Linked DNA regions of Arabidopsis thaliana. The protein of the gene in region 2 purifies or fractionates together with the protein of the main gene of each other region. This does not show direct contact. Each region holds a gene or a part of one and is shown on either strand. Other genes may lie near its edges.

What was found.
Region 1: the proteins of AT5G63370 (region 2) and AT1G29220 purify together in Arabidopsis thaliana (affinity purification with mass spectrometry, with the first as the bait; one large-scale study listed by BioGRID). This does not show direct contact.
Region 3: the proteins of AT5G63370 (region 2) and AT3G24690 purify together in Arabidopsis thaliana (affinity purification with mass spectrometry, with the first as the bait; one large-scale study listed by BioGRID). This does not show direct contact.

The regions. Positions count from the first base shown.
Region 1 is NC_003070.9:10,210,746-10,214,505, reverse strand, and holds the start of AT1G29220 (transcriptional regulator family protein), read left to right. Parts: upstream 1-1,783; 5' UTR 1,784-1,934; coding exon 1,935-2,372; intron 2,373-2,566; coding exon 2,567-2,602; intron 2,603-2,698; coding exon 2,699-2,900; intron 2,901-3,132; coding exon 3,133-3,264; intron 3,265-3,347; coding exon 3,348-3,442; intron 3,443-3,542; coding exon 3,543-3,664; intron 3,665-3,760.
Region 2 is NC_003076.8:25,385,359-25,389,118, reverse strand, and holds the start of AT5G63370 (Protein kinase superfamily protein), read left to right. Parts: upstream 1-1,857; 5' UTR 1,858-2,326; coding exon 2,327-3,760. Other genes in the region: AT5G63380 (AMP-dependent synthetase and ligase family protein), read left to right, coding at 1-148, 288-477, 844-989, 1,063-1,130, 1,204-1,306, 1,413-1,538. UniProt on the Arabidopsis thaliana protein: Cyclin-dependent kinase involved in pre-mRNA splicing. Required for the correct splicing of the sixth intron of CALS5 pre-mRNA. May stabilize the binding of U1 snRNP to this rare type of intron with a GC 5'SS.
Region 3 is NC_003074.8:9,018,905-9,022,077, forward strand, and holds AT3G24690 (uncharacterized protein), read left to right. Parts: upstream 1-1,746; 5' UTR 1,747-1,833; coding exon 1,834-2,103; intron 2,104-2,179; coding exon 2,180-2,386; 3' UTR 2,387-2,587; downstream 2,588-3,173.

The DNA.
Region 1 (3,760 bases), on a different chromosome or scaffold from region 2:
TTTTTATCATTATAGAGAAATATAAATGTTACCTAAACACGCTATATGCCTATTACCTATACAGTATACACCAAGACAACAACTTTAAAATAAAAATGGTTTTATTTTGAATATAATTTTAGTAGTATATTTATTCAGTGAGAAAATTAAATTTATTTCTAATGTTTGAATATTTAAAACTGTAGAAAATAAAATAAAGATATTGAAACTTATGATGGTGTCGTCTTCGTTATCACAGTACAATTTGCAATGAACAATGGGTTTTGTGATTTTCGCTATGATATTTCTACCTCCAGCAGTTTATTCAGTGCCAGATAATAGACAGAACTTATCAGTAGCAAAAGGAACCTGATCGATCAGCAGATCATAGATAGGTATTCATAAGAAGTTGCCATCGTATGACACGGTCACGCTTTACTGAGTTAAATTTTATTTCTTTTGTCATCACTTTTAAATAATATTTATAACTCTTTTCTTGTGACGACAACCTATATGAATCAGAAATGTAACGAATGGTATTGTGGGAACCAGGTGTTGCTGCGTTGGTGCTTACGTGAGTTCGTGGACTTCACATCGCCGACCAAATCCGAGTTCATTTTTCCTTACAATAATTCCAGTTCTTTCTATAATATTATTTCCAAAGTTATATCCAAATTTGGTTTTCTACCTTCTATATATAATTCTTTTTATCATGTTTTCTAAATGGAATATTCTTTTCTACACTAAAATCCAAATCACTAATAACATCATATATATATTCACATTAGTTTAGTTTTAATGAAATGTACACTATTTGAAAATCATCTAGTAAACACTACCCTAGTAACTGATATAAATAACTATCGACAATTTGCCACCAAATTAAAACTACCTTTTTCTTATAACCAACATATTAATTGGTGCATGTAGATGTTGATGTTATATAAAAATGACTAAGAAAAAAGATGTAATATCAACAAAAGAATATACATGTTTGAAATCGACTTGTGATTTGGACTAACAAAACAAATAGTTATCGAGTAAAAGTAAAACTAAGTCTTGTTGAATAGCTTATTATATGGGTTGCTATCATTTGATTATCTCAAGGAAGTGCTATTTATTTAACCCTATCCATAAGCACAAGGAAGAAACACATAAGCGAAAGTCACTACTAACTTCAAACGACTCTTTACAATCTATAAGAAAAGAAGAAATAGTTTTCTAGGTATGACTACGTAATTACTGAGTATATATTATACTTTGAAATTAAATTTATTCAAAATAAGGCTTTTAATTAATTTAACTTGTAACTTTTCATAGAAGCTACTGTTCATATTTTCTTTGCTAGTCTTAGGTCTATTATATTATTGACTCACAACTTAAAAACTAGAAAAAAATTGTATAAATAATAATTACAATTCAGGGCAATTTTGCTTAAGAACTAGACAAATGCAAGGTAGTATGAATTAAGTTGCAACCAATTGCAATGAAACAAACAAAATTTAACATATTTCTTCAAATTACTATTATATTTTTTTAAAAACTTTAGAATGTAAAGACATTAAATTGTAAACAAATAACAATTTTTTTCCTGTTTTATCATCTAGTTTTAGGAGTTTGTCTTACATTTGAAGATTAAAAAAAATATCCAAAAATTAAAAGCAATATCATATAGCAATCTCGCATTGTTTTGGACTCATTGCACAATAATTTTAGTTATTGGGCCTTTAGTAATAGATAAACGATCCAATTTATAACTACGTCGTTTTAAAAATATAACATCCCAACTGGGTTCTGATTCGGTGGATCCAAGTTCGGGTTGCAATTCGATTCAGAATCAAACCATTTTTGAAGAACCCTAAAAGTTCTCTTCTTCCCCCAAATTTGAATTTGTTCTTGCAATCGGATTCGAAATCCGAAAGTCTTAGTCTCGAATTTGAGCTCAACAGTTTCTTATGGCTCCGAAGAAGTCTGAAGGAATCGCTTTGCTTTCCGTTTACAGTGATGAAGATGACGAAGAGATGGAAGACGCCGAGGAAGAGGAAGAAGAGGATGAGAAGCAGAGAAATCAGGAAGAGAGTGAAAAAATAATTGAAGAAGATCAGGTAGAAGAAGCGAATTATATGGATGAAGAAGAGAAAGGAAGAGGAGGAGAAGATTCTAGAACGCCGAGGCTATTAGATGGTGTTGGAGCTTCTTCTAGTGCTCATGGGACTCCTCGTTCACTTGATAACGATGAATCATCGAGACCTGATTGGAGTAATCGAATGATTGGTGAGTCTGGAGTTGCGGATGGTGAGAGAGGTGATGATGCTTCAGGGGAAAGTAGTGATACGTTATTGGATCAGTTTCTTCCGCCAAGACCGAGAGAGAGGTGCTCTGAGGAGCTGCAAGTAAGTTTCCTGATGATGCTTCAATGTTCTAATTTTAAAAGTTTAGGTAGGCAAGAACTCATTGGTGTGTTGTTTGGAAATAGCAGTCTTCTAAACTGATTAGTTTGTGATTCTAAGCTGATTACTCATTGCTCTGAGGAGCTGCAAGTAAGTTTCCTGATGATGCTTCAATGTTATTTTGAAACATTAGGTAGGCAAGAACTCATTGGTGTGTTGTGTGGGGTCTCTTGGTACGTATGGTTGGAAATAGCAGTCTTCTAAGCTGATTAGTTTGTGATTCAGTTACAAGTTGGTCTGATATGTATTTTTTTTTGTTGTGTTTGTAGAGGAAAATAGATAAGTTTCTGAGCTTGAAAAAGATGGGGAAGAGTTTCAATTCAGAAGTGAGGAATAGGAAGGAATACAGGAATCCTGACTTCCTATTGCATGCTGTATCTTACCAAGACATTGACCAGATTGGTTCGTGTTTCAGTAAAGATGTATTTGATCCCAGTGGATATGACCCAAGTGACTTCTGTGATGCAATAGGTAACTCCACCTTTTTGTAGCTTCTTCGTTTTTTTCTTCTCTTTTCTTGTTTACTCTTGTCTCAGTAAGAAGCATCTTTGATATCTTTTGCTTATAATTTTGATACTCTGTTCAGTATCATGCACTCATTATTACTTTAGTAAATTATTGATGCTGGTCACTATTATTACTATATTCTGCGTTCTCCATATTTCATGATTTGTAATGATCCTTGTTTATGTGTTAATTACAGAAATCGACATGAAGAATGAGAGGGAAAGGAAGGAACAAGAAAGCAAGAAGAACCAGAAGCTTGACTTTGTTTCTGCTGGTACTCAACCTGGGGCGGTTTTCGCTGCTCAAAAGCCTAACATCCCCATTCCAGGTGTGTGAAAATGACTAGGTGTCTGATTGGTTAGTTATTTATCTCAGCTACATCTCTGCAAAATATGATGAATTTTTTTTCAGGTATTCCAGCTTTAGCTACTAGTGGATTGCCTTCCATACCAACCGAAATTGCTGCTCGTGATGGTAGACCGAACAAGAAATCCAAATGGGATAAGGTTTGTTATCAGATTTAAATATCTAGAATGTGACTATATGATGATTTTGGCATACTTAGTTCTTCGCTTATTTCATTTTATGTGTTTATGGTTAAATCAGGTTGATGGGGACGTAAAGAATCCTCCTCTAGCAGCTGGAACTCAGGATTCTATATCCTCAATCCGGTCTAATGCAGCTCTTGTATCTGCTACAAGTGCTGGTTCTGGATACTCAGCTTTTGCGTAAGTTATATTGTCTGTTGTTTGATTTGTAAACTAATACAATCTTGAGCTATTCCTCAGTTAGATAAATCGGATAATCATTTCATTAACCATACA
Region 2 (3,760 bases):
TCCGTTGATTGTAGCGTTGGTCAAATCGGAGCTCACGAAGAAGTACGATCTCCGGTCGTTGCGTTCCCTTGGCTGCGGAGGAGCTCCACTCGGCAAAGACATCGCAGAGAGGTTTAAGCAGAAATTCCCAGATGTAGATATTGTACAGGTAATAACTGATAAGACAGTTAGTGTCAAAATATGACTTTGTATATAGGACTGTGTCCAGTTTCATGATACTTGGTTTTCATCAAGATTTTGAATCATTTATATGACTTTTAACTTTCTGGTTTGGTGATGGCTTACAGGGCTATGGCTTGACAGAGAGCTCGGGACCAGCTGCCTCAACGTTTGGACCTGAAGAGATGGTAAAATATGGCTCAGTTGGTCGTATCTCTGAGAATATGGAAGCCAAAATTGTTGATCCATCCACCGGAGAATCCTTGCCACCGGGAAAAACTGGTGAACTCTGGCTCCGAGGACCAGTCATCATGAAAGGTATCATAAAACATATGCAATAGTTGAGGAACATGCAATGTGCTGAGCTGGTGTAAACTAAATGACTTTGCATATAAGAATCTAGGACTGTCAAATTATATCAAGACTTTGACCATTAATGTGACTTTGCATATAAGAATCTAGGACTGTGTCAAATTAAATCGAGACTTGTGACTTTGCATAGAAGAATCTAGGACTGTGTAACAAATGCAATAGTTTGAGGAACATTCAAGAGCTTTCACTAAATGACTTAGCATATAAGAAGAAATCTAGGACTCAGTCGGATTTCATGATCCTTGAAGTCTAATGTCTTCATCAAGATTTTGATCATTGATGTGACTATAAACCTGTGATTAATGGGCACAGGTTATGTGGGAAACGAGAAAGCGAGTGCGGAGACAGTAGACAAAGAAGGGTGGTTAAAGACTGGTGATCTCTGTTATTTTGATTCGGAAGATTTTCTATATATTGTTGATCGGCTAAAGGAGCTAATCAAATACAAGGCTTATCAGGTAAATTTTACGAGTCAGAAGAAGAAGATATAGTCTTTAGAGTTTAATATTAATCAAAAGCGTCATCTTATAGGTTCCACCGGTAGAGTTGGAGCAGATTCTTCACTCGAATCCAGATGTGATTGATGCTGCAGTTGTTCCGTGAGTCTTTTAAACTCAAATTTGTAACTTCTTGAAATGTGTTTCTGATACTGACATGGATCATGAATTCAAGGTTCCCTGACGAGGATGCAGGAGAGATTCCAATGGCTTTCATAGTGAGAAAACCAGGAAGCAATCTCAACGAAGCGCAAATCATTGATTTCGTAGCTAAACAAGTAATGCTCATTGCTCTAGAATGTTGGTTATATTAATTTTTAGTACAAGTAGACAGAACAATTAGATTTGATGTTTTGGTTTGCTTATGTAACTATTTGTGTGTAGGTTACTCCGTACAAGAAGGTAAGACGAGTTGCTTTTATAAATGCAATCCCAAAAAATCCTGCTGGCAAGATTCTGCGTCGGGAGCTTACTAAAATCGCTGTGGATGGCAATGCATCAAAACTTTGAGATAACCGGCTGGTTCATATATTATTGTGTCGGTTTTCAGTGAAAATGGGATCTAATTACCGGTTCAGACGAAATGTAGCTTACATTCTTACTACACAAGATTTAATGTAATATTGACCGTTCGATTAACAACGTGAGTATTATTATTTATAGCATCGTCATTCGTCACCGTCACCGTCCAAACAATAAACGACTAGTTTCGTGTTCATTAATTAGATCCAACGGCTGTAATACGTAGCTCACGTTCTTTTGGTACACCCGCAAACATTAGATAAATCTGTGAAATAGAAAAGGGAATTATTGGAGCAGCCGACCTATTACGATTATAAAACAAAGGGTAAAGTAATAATAGAGCCACTTGACAAAATTGAAAAACGCGTCTCCGAGAGGAAAATTTAGAGAAAAGCTTCTCGCGATCGCATCGGGCTCGTAGATCGATCTCCTCCTCCATCCAATCTTCCGTTTTCGTATTCACCGTCCGGTAAGACCTTCCGGTACTTGTGAATCGGAGAAGAGGAAGGAGAAAAATTATCGCGTTCCTGGAAATTGAATTTCTAGGGTTTCGTTTTTTTCTGAATTATTCTGATTCTGATTTCGTCAAGGGTGTTTTTCTTAATTGGTTGATTGATCGTCTTTCTAGTTCAATTGTTGAAAAGTAATTGAACATCTATTGAAATCTGCTTCTCGTGATTTGATTCTGGGTTTCGTTGATTGGTTTTTTTCGAGGGGTTTGTTTGTTTTATCCTTTTTTATTTCTATAAGATCAATTTCTCATTGAGAAGAATACGATGGCAGCAGGGGGTGTTGATGTTTCCAGAAGTTCCGTTGCTGTCAAAAAAGACTACGACTTTTACAGGAATGGTTCTCGTGATGTGTATGTTCGACAGAGTGGTAGAGATGACGAGAGGCGTCAAATCAAAAGGCCTAGTGACCATGATCTCAGGAGGAATGATGGGCGTCACCGATCACGGTTGGCATATGAGAAAGGGGAACTACGGGAGGAAGCAGAGGTTCAGAGACCCTCTGAGAAAAGGAGGAAGTTTTCACCCATCGTGTGGAATGCAGAAAAAGTGGGTAGAGCTCCATCTAGGGAGAAGACCAAGTCTCCTTTCCCTGTTCCGACTACAACTGTGATATCCAATCAGGCTGTTGCTGGTAAGACTACTTCAAACGATCAAGTGAATGCCTTGATGTCGCCAGAACCTAGTTATCTTGCTCCAGTGCAGCCTTCAGAAGCCCTGCTGGCTGTGAAACATCCTGTTGATGATTTGGAGGAGGGTCAGTTGGAGGAAGAACAGGTGATGCAGGAGGATGTAAAGGAGGGTCTGTTGGAGGAAGAACAAGTGATGCAGGAACCAAATATAAAGACATCTAGGTGGGGGACAGGTTTGACTTCCCCAAAGGAGGAGTTAATATCTGTTAACGTTTCCAAGACTAATAGATGGAACAGGAGCAGTTTGACACCGGAGTGCGAGGAAGTAATGGTGTCTGAAGAACAGCAGTGCTATTCGTCTGGATCTGGCAGTGGACATCTCAGCGTAGAGAAGCTTAGTGCAGATGGAAATTCTGGTCGTGAGTATTATAGTTCTGATCATGATGAGTTAGAACATGAAGATCAAGATTCTTTAACTCCGGGAGAGATGAACATGATGTTTGGGAGCAGGTCTGTGAATGAATTTCAGAAGCTAAACAAGATAAATGAAGGAACATATGGAATTGTTTACAAAGCAAGGGATGAGAAAACAAAAGAGATTGTTGCGCTCAAAAAGATCAAGATGAAGGAAGATAGGTTCGAAGAAGAGTATGGATTCCCTTTGACATCATTGAGGGAAATTAACATACTTTTGTCATGCAATCACCCTGCGATTGTGAACGTGAAGGAGGTTGTGGTTGGAGGGAAAAACGATAATGATGTTTATATGGTCATGGAACACTTAGAACACGACCTGAGGGGAGTAATGGATAGAAGGAAGGAACCTTTTAGCACTAGCGAAGTCAAGTGCTTGATGATGCAGCTGTTGGATGGTTTGAAATACCTCCACACAAATTGGATTATCCACAGGGATCTGAAGCCATCTAATCTTCTGATGAACAATTGTGGGGAGTTAAAAATATGTGATTTTGGGATGGCGCGCCAGTATGGGAGCCCTATCAAGCCTTACACCCAGATGGTTATTACCCAGTGGTACAGGCCACCTGAACTTCTTCTAGGAGCAAAAGAG
Region 3 (3,173 bases), on a different chromosome or scaffold from region 2:
TTGCAAATCCTCAAACAACATGAACATATATTTTCTCGCCCAAAAGTATATGTTATGTTGATAGTGATGATGATAATGTTATGATCTTAAAAGTATGATGATAATGGTAGTGTTAATGATGATGAAGATGCATTGTCATTATTTTTATGTTAATTATTACTTTAATGCGTCAATCTATTTAATCATTTAACCCATCAAATTAAATGGGGTTTTGGGTTAATCCAACTTAGTTGTTAAATGAATCGCGTTAACTCATGAACTCTAAACCCATTAGGTAATCAACCATGCCTCTTTTGCCGAGAACTAGATGAGTCATGGGATCACTTATTCTTCGTGCGCCGATACACGTTCACAATTTGGAGCGACATTGTCGGGAATTTGCTAGACGCTCAACCCGACCCGGATTGGGAACAAACATTACAATAGTTCAATAAAAACAGAGACTAGCTTAGCCACATCCTTCTCCGTTTAGCATTCCAAGCAACAATTTACTTTTTGTGGAGGGAGTGAAACTACCGGCGGCATGGAGCTACTCAACGTATGGTGACTCAATTGATTAGTATAATTGACAAAAACGGTTTGACGATGCGTAGTTTCACTTCGCTATCGAGACTCTCTGAATTTGAGACTACTTTTCCAAAAATGGTTTCAAGCTAGGGGAATCACATAATCTTGTTTTAGTTCTTACTCTTTTTCTTAAATAGTTTCCATGCTTTTGTTCATAAACTCTCTTTCTTTTTATCAGATAAATTTAACATTTCATGAAAACAAAAATGAGTTTAGTTGAATTAAGTTATCCATTTTCACACCCCTAGATATATAACTATCATGAATATTACAAAGAAAAACTAAAAATTATTAACTATTCATATTAAAACATCTTATATATTAACAAAAAAAATCTATCACAATATAGAAATTATAGATTATTGTTGTGATAATCAATTCATTTTCTAGATTTACCCTACTAAAGTTTTTCTGAACTGCGTATTTATATTAATTAAAATAATGGTCTCATATGTAATTTCAACATTTAAGATATTAAAGATGCTATAGTTTTATTATATATCATTAAATGTATATTATTACAATTCTGATATATAAAATATAATACTTCAATGAATATTAATGGTCTAATAAAATATTTACCAAAAATATAATAAAAAACACGTGTCGCATGGATCTAGTCTAAACATAGTAACTATTGTAAATCTTTTAAAAAACATAAAAAAAAATAAAAAATAAAGATTTTATTATTTTAATAAATTTTATAACTCATAACAAAAATAATTAATTCGCAAAGATATGGAAGAAGAAGATGCAATTATTATATATGAAAATAACTGTACAAATATCTATAATGATCTAAAATTATGTTAAAAAATACACGGGTCGCATGGGTATAAACCTTGAACTACTGTAAAGCTTTGAACAAACACATACATAAAAGTTGACAAAAAAAAAAAATTTAAAACCACATACATTTTTTTGTTTTTCTTATTTTAAGAAATTTTACAGTTAAAGGTAGACCATAATAAGTTTAACATTAATAAAAAATGTTTAAATTCACAAAGATATGGAAAAGATGCAATTATGATATATGGAAATAACTATACAAAGATCTAGGACGATCCAAAATATATTATAGAGATACACTAAACATTTGTCAATAACTAATATAGAGACCTAAAGTCTCCACTATATATATGTATGTAGTTCTAAGTTGTATCCCATCCCATATTCTAAGGAAAACAAAACCCTTACTTACTTTCTTGTTCTCTTTCTCCGCCGTGGTTATCTATCTCAGACGTTCTCATCGCTCATCTTGACATCATGGCCGCCGTAGAAGGACAAATCTCGGCTCTCATCAGCAAACGTCTCCGTACTCTCCGCAAGAAATACAACCGTATAACTGACATGGAAGAGTCGATTTCTCAGGGGAAAACACTAAACAAGGAACAAGAAGACACCCTCCGTTCAAAGCCAATCGTCTCCGCCCTTATCGATGAGCTCGTAAAGCTCCGCATTCCTCCTCCTTCTGCAGCCATTTCAGAAGAGACCAGCCCCCCTGCTAAGAACAAGAAACAGCAAAAGTTATCCCACGTAATTTTCTTTAGGGTTTTAGCCGCATGCCCGCATCGTATTATAGTAAAACTAAACCTAATATTTTCCTTCCTAGGCACGTAAGGAGGTAGCTGAGGAGGAAAACGTGACGGCCAAGACAGATATCGAGGATTGCAAGATCTCTGATGATGGTATCAATTCTGAGGTTTCCAAGGACGATACTTCTCCTAGTAGCGAAAGCTCACAAGGTGTTACGCCATCGCCGCTTAGCAGAAAGGCACGACGTAAACGGAACGCGAAGAAACCTCAAATTCCACAGTGATTGTGTCTCCAACTTCTGTGAGTAGCGGAAGTTTTGGCAAAGACAAAGTAAAAGGAATTGCTTTTGTCACAATTAGCTAGGGCTTTTTGCGTTTGAGCTTTTCCTTGACAAAAGCTATAAAACTCTTCCAAATCCATTGTTTAATTTCTTATATATCGAACTATGTCTCTAGTTGTAAATTCAAATTGAATATCATTAATATTGTTCTTGAGTCACTATTAGCTAATACAATAATTTGTTTTTAAAAATATAATTTTCTTTCACGTCACACCAATTTTTGGCATAGAATGTCATGAAGCCAGAAAAAACTCTTTTTTGAGGACAATATCAACAATTTGTAGCACTGTTTTTTTTAACCCTTTTTTAACGTCTTAAAAGAACTAACGTTTTGTATCTGAAAATTTTGCCTAATCTACGTGATCATATACAAATTTCTTCTGGTATGTGAATCCCTATGAGATATCACTAACTCTTTATGTAGTTCCTTGGTGAAGCAATGATGCGATATTTTGTTAATTGAGGTTAGTTGCAGAGATGGGTCATATTTTTAAAGTCATATTTTTCAACTAAAAAGGTAAAAAAAAACTCTTTTCCTTAAGAAAAAAGGTAAAAAATATCTCTTGGAATCACTTTCAGCAGCTTATTATAAAAAAAGTAGTATTTTTTCCAATAACAATAGATTTGATTTGAGTTTTACAAATTGTTGATTGAATATTGTGAATTATTTTAAGTGATTTTACATAAATTCCAAGTTCAATAAAATAGAATTGAGAATTTGTTTTAAAAA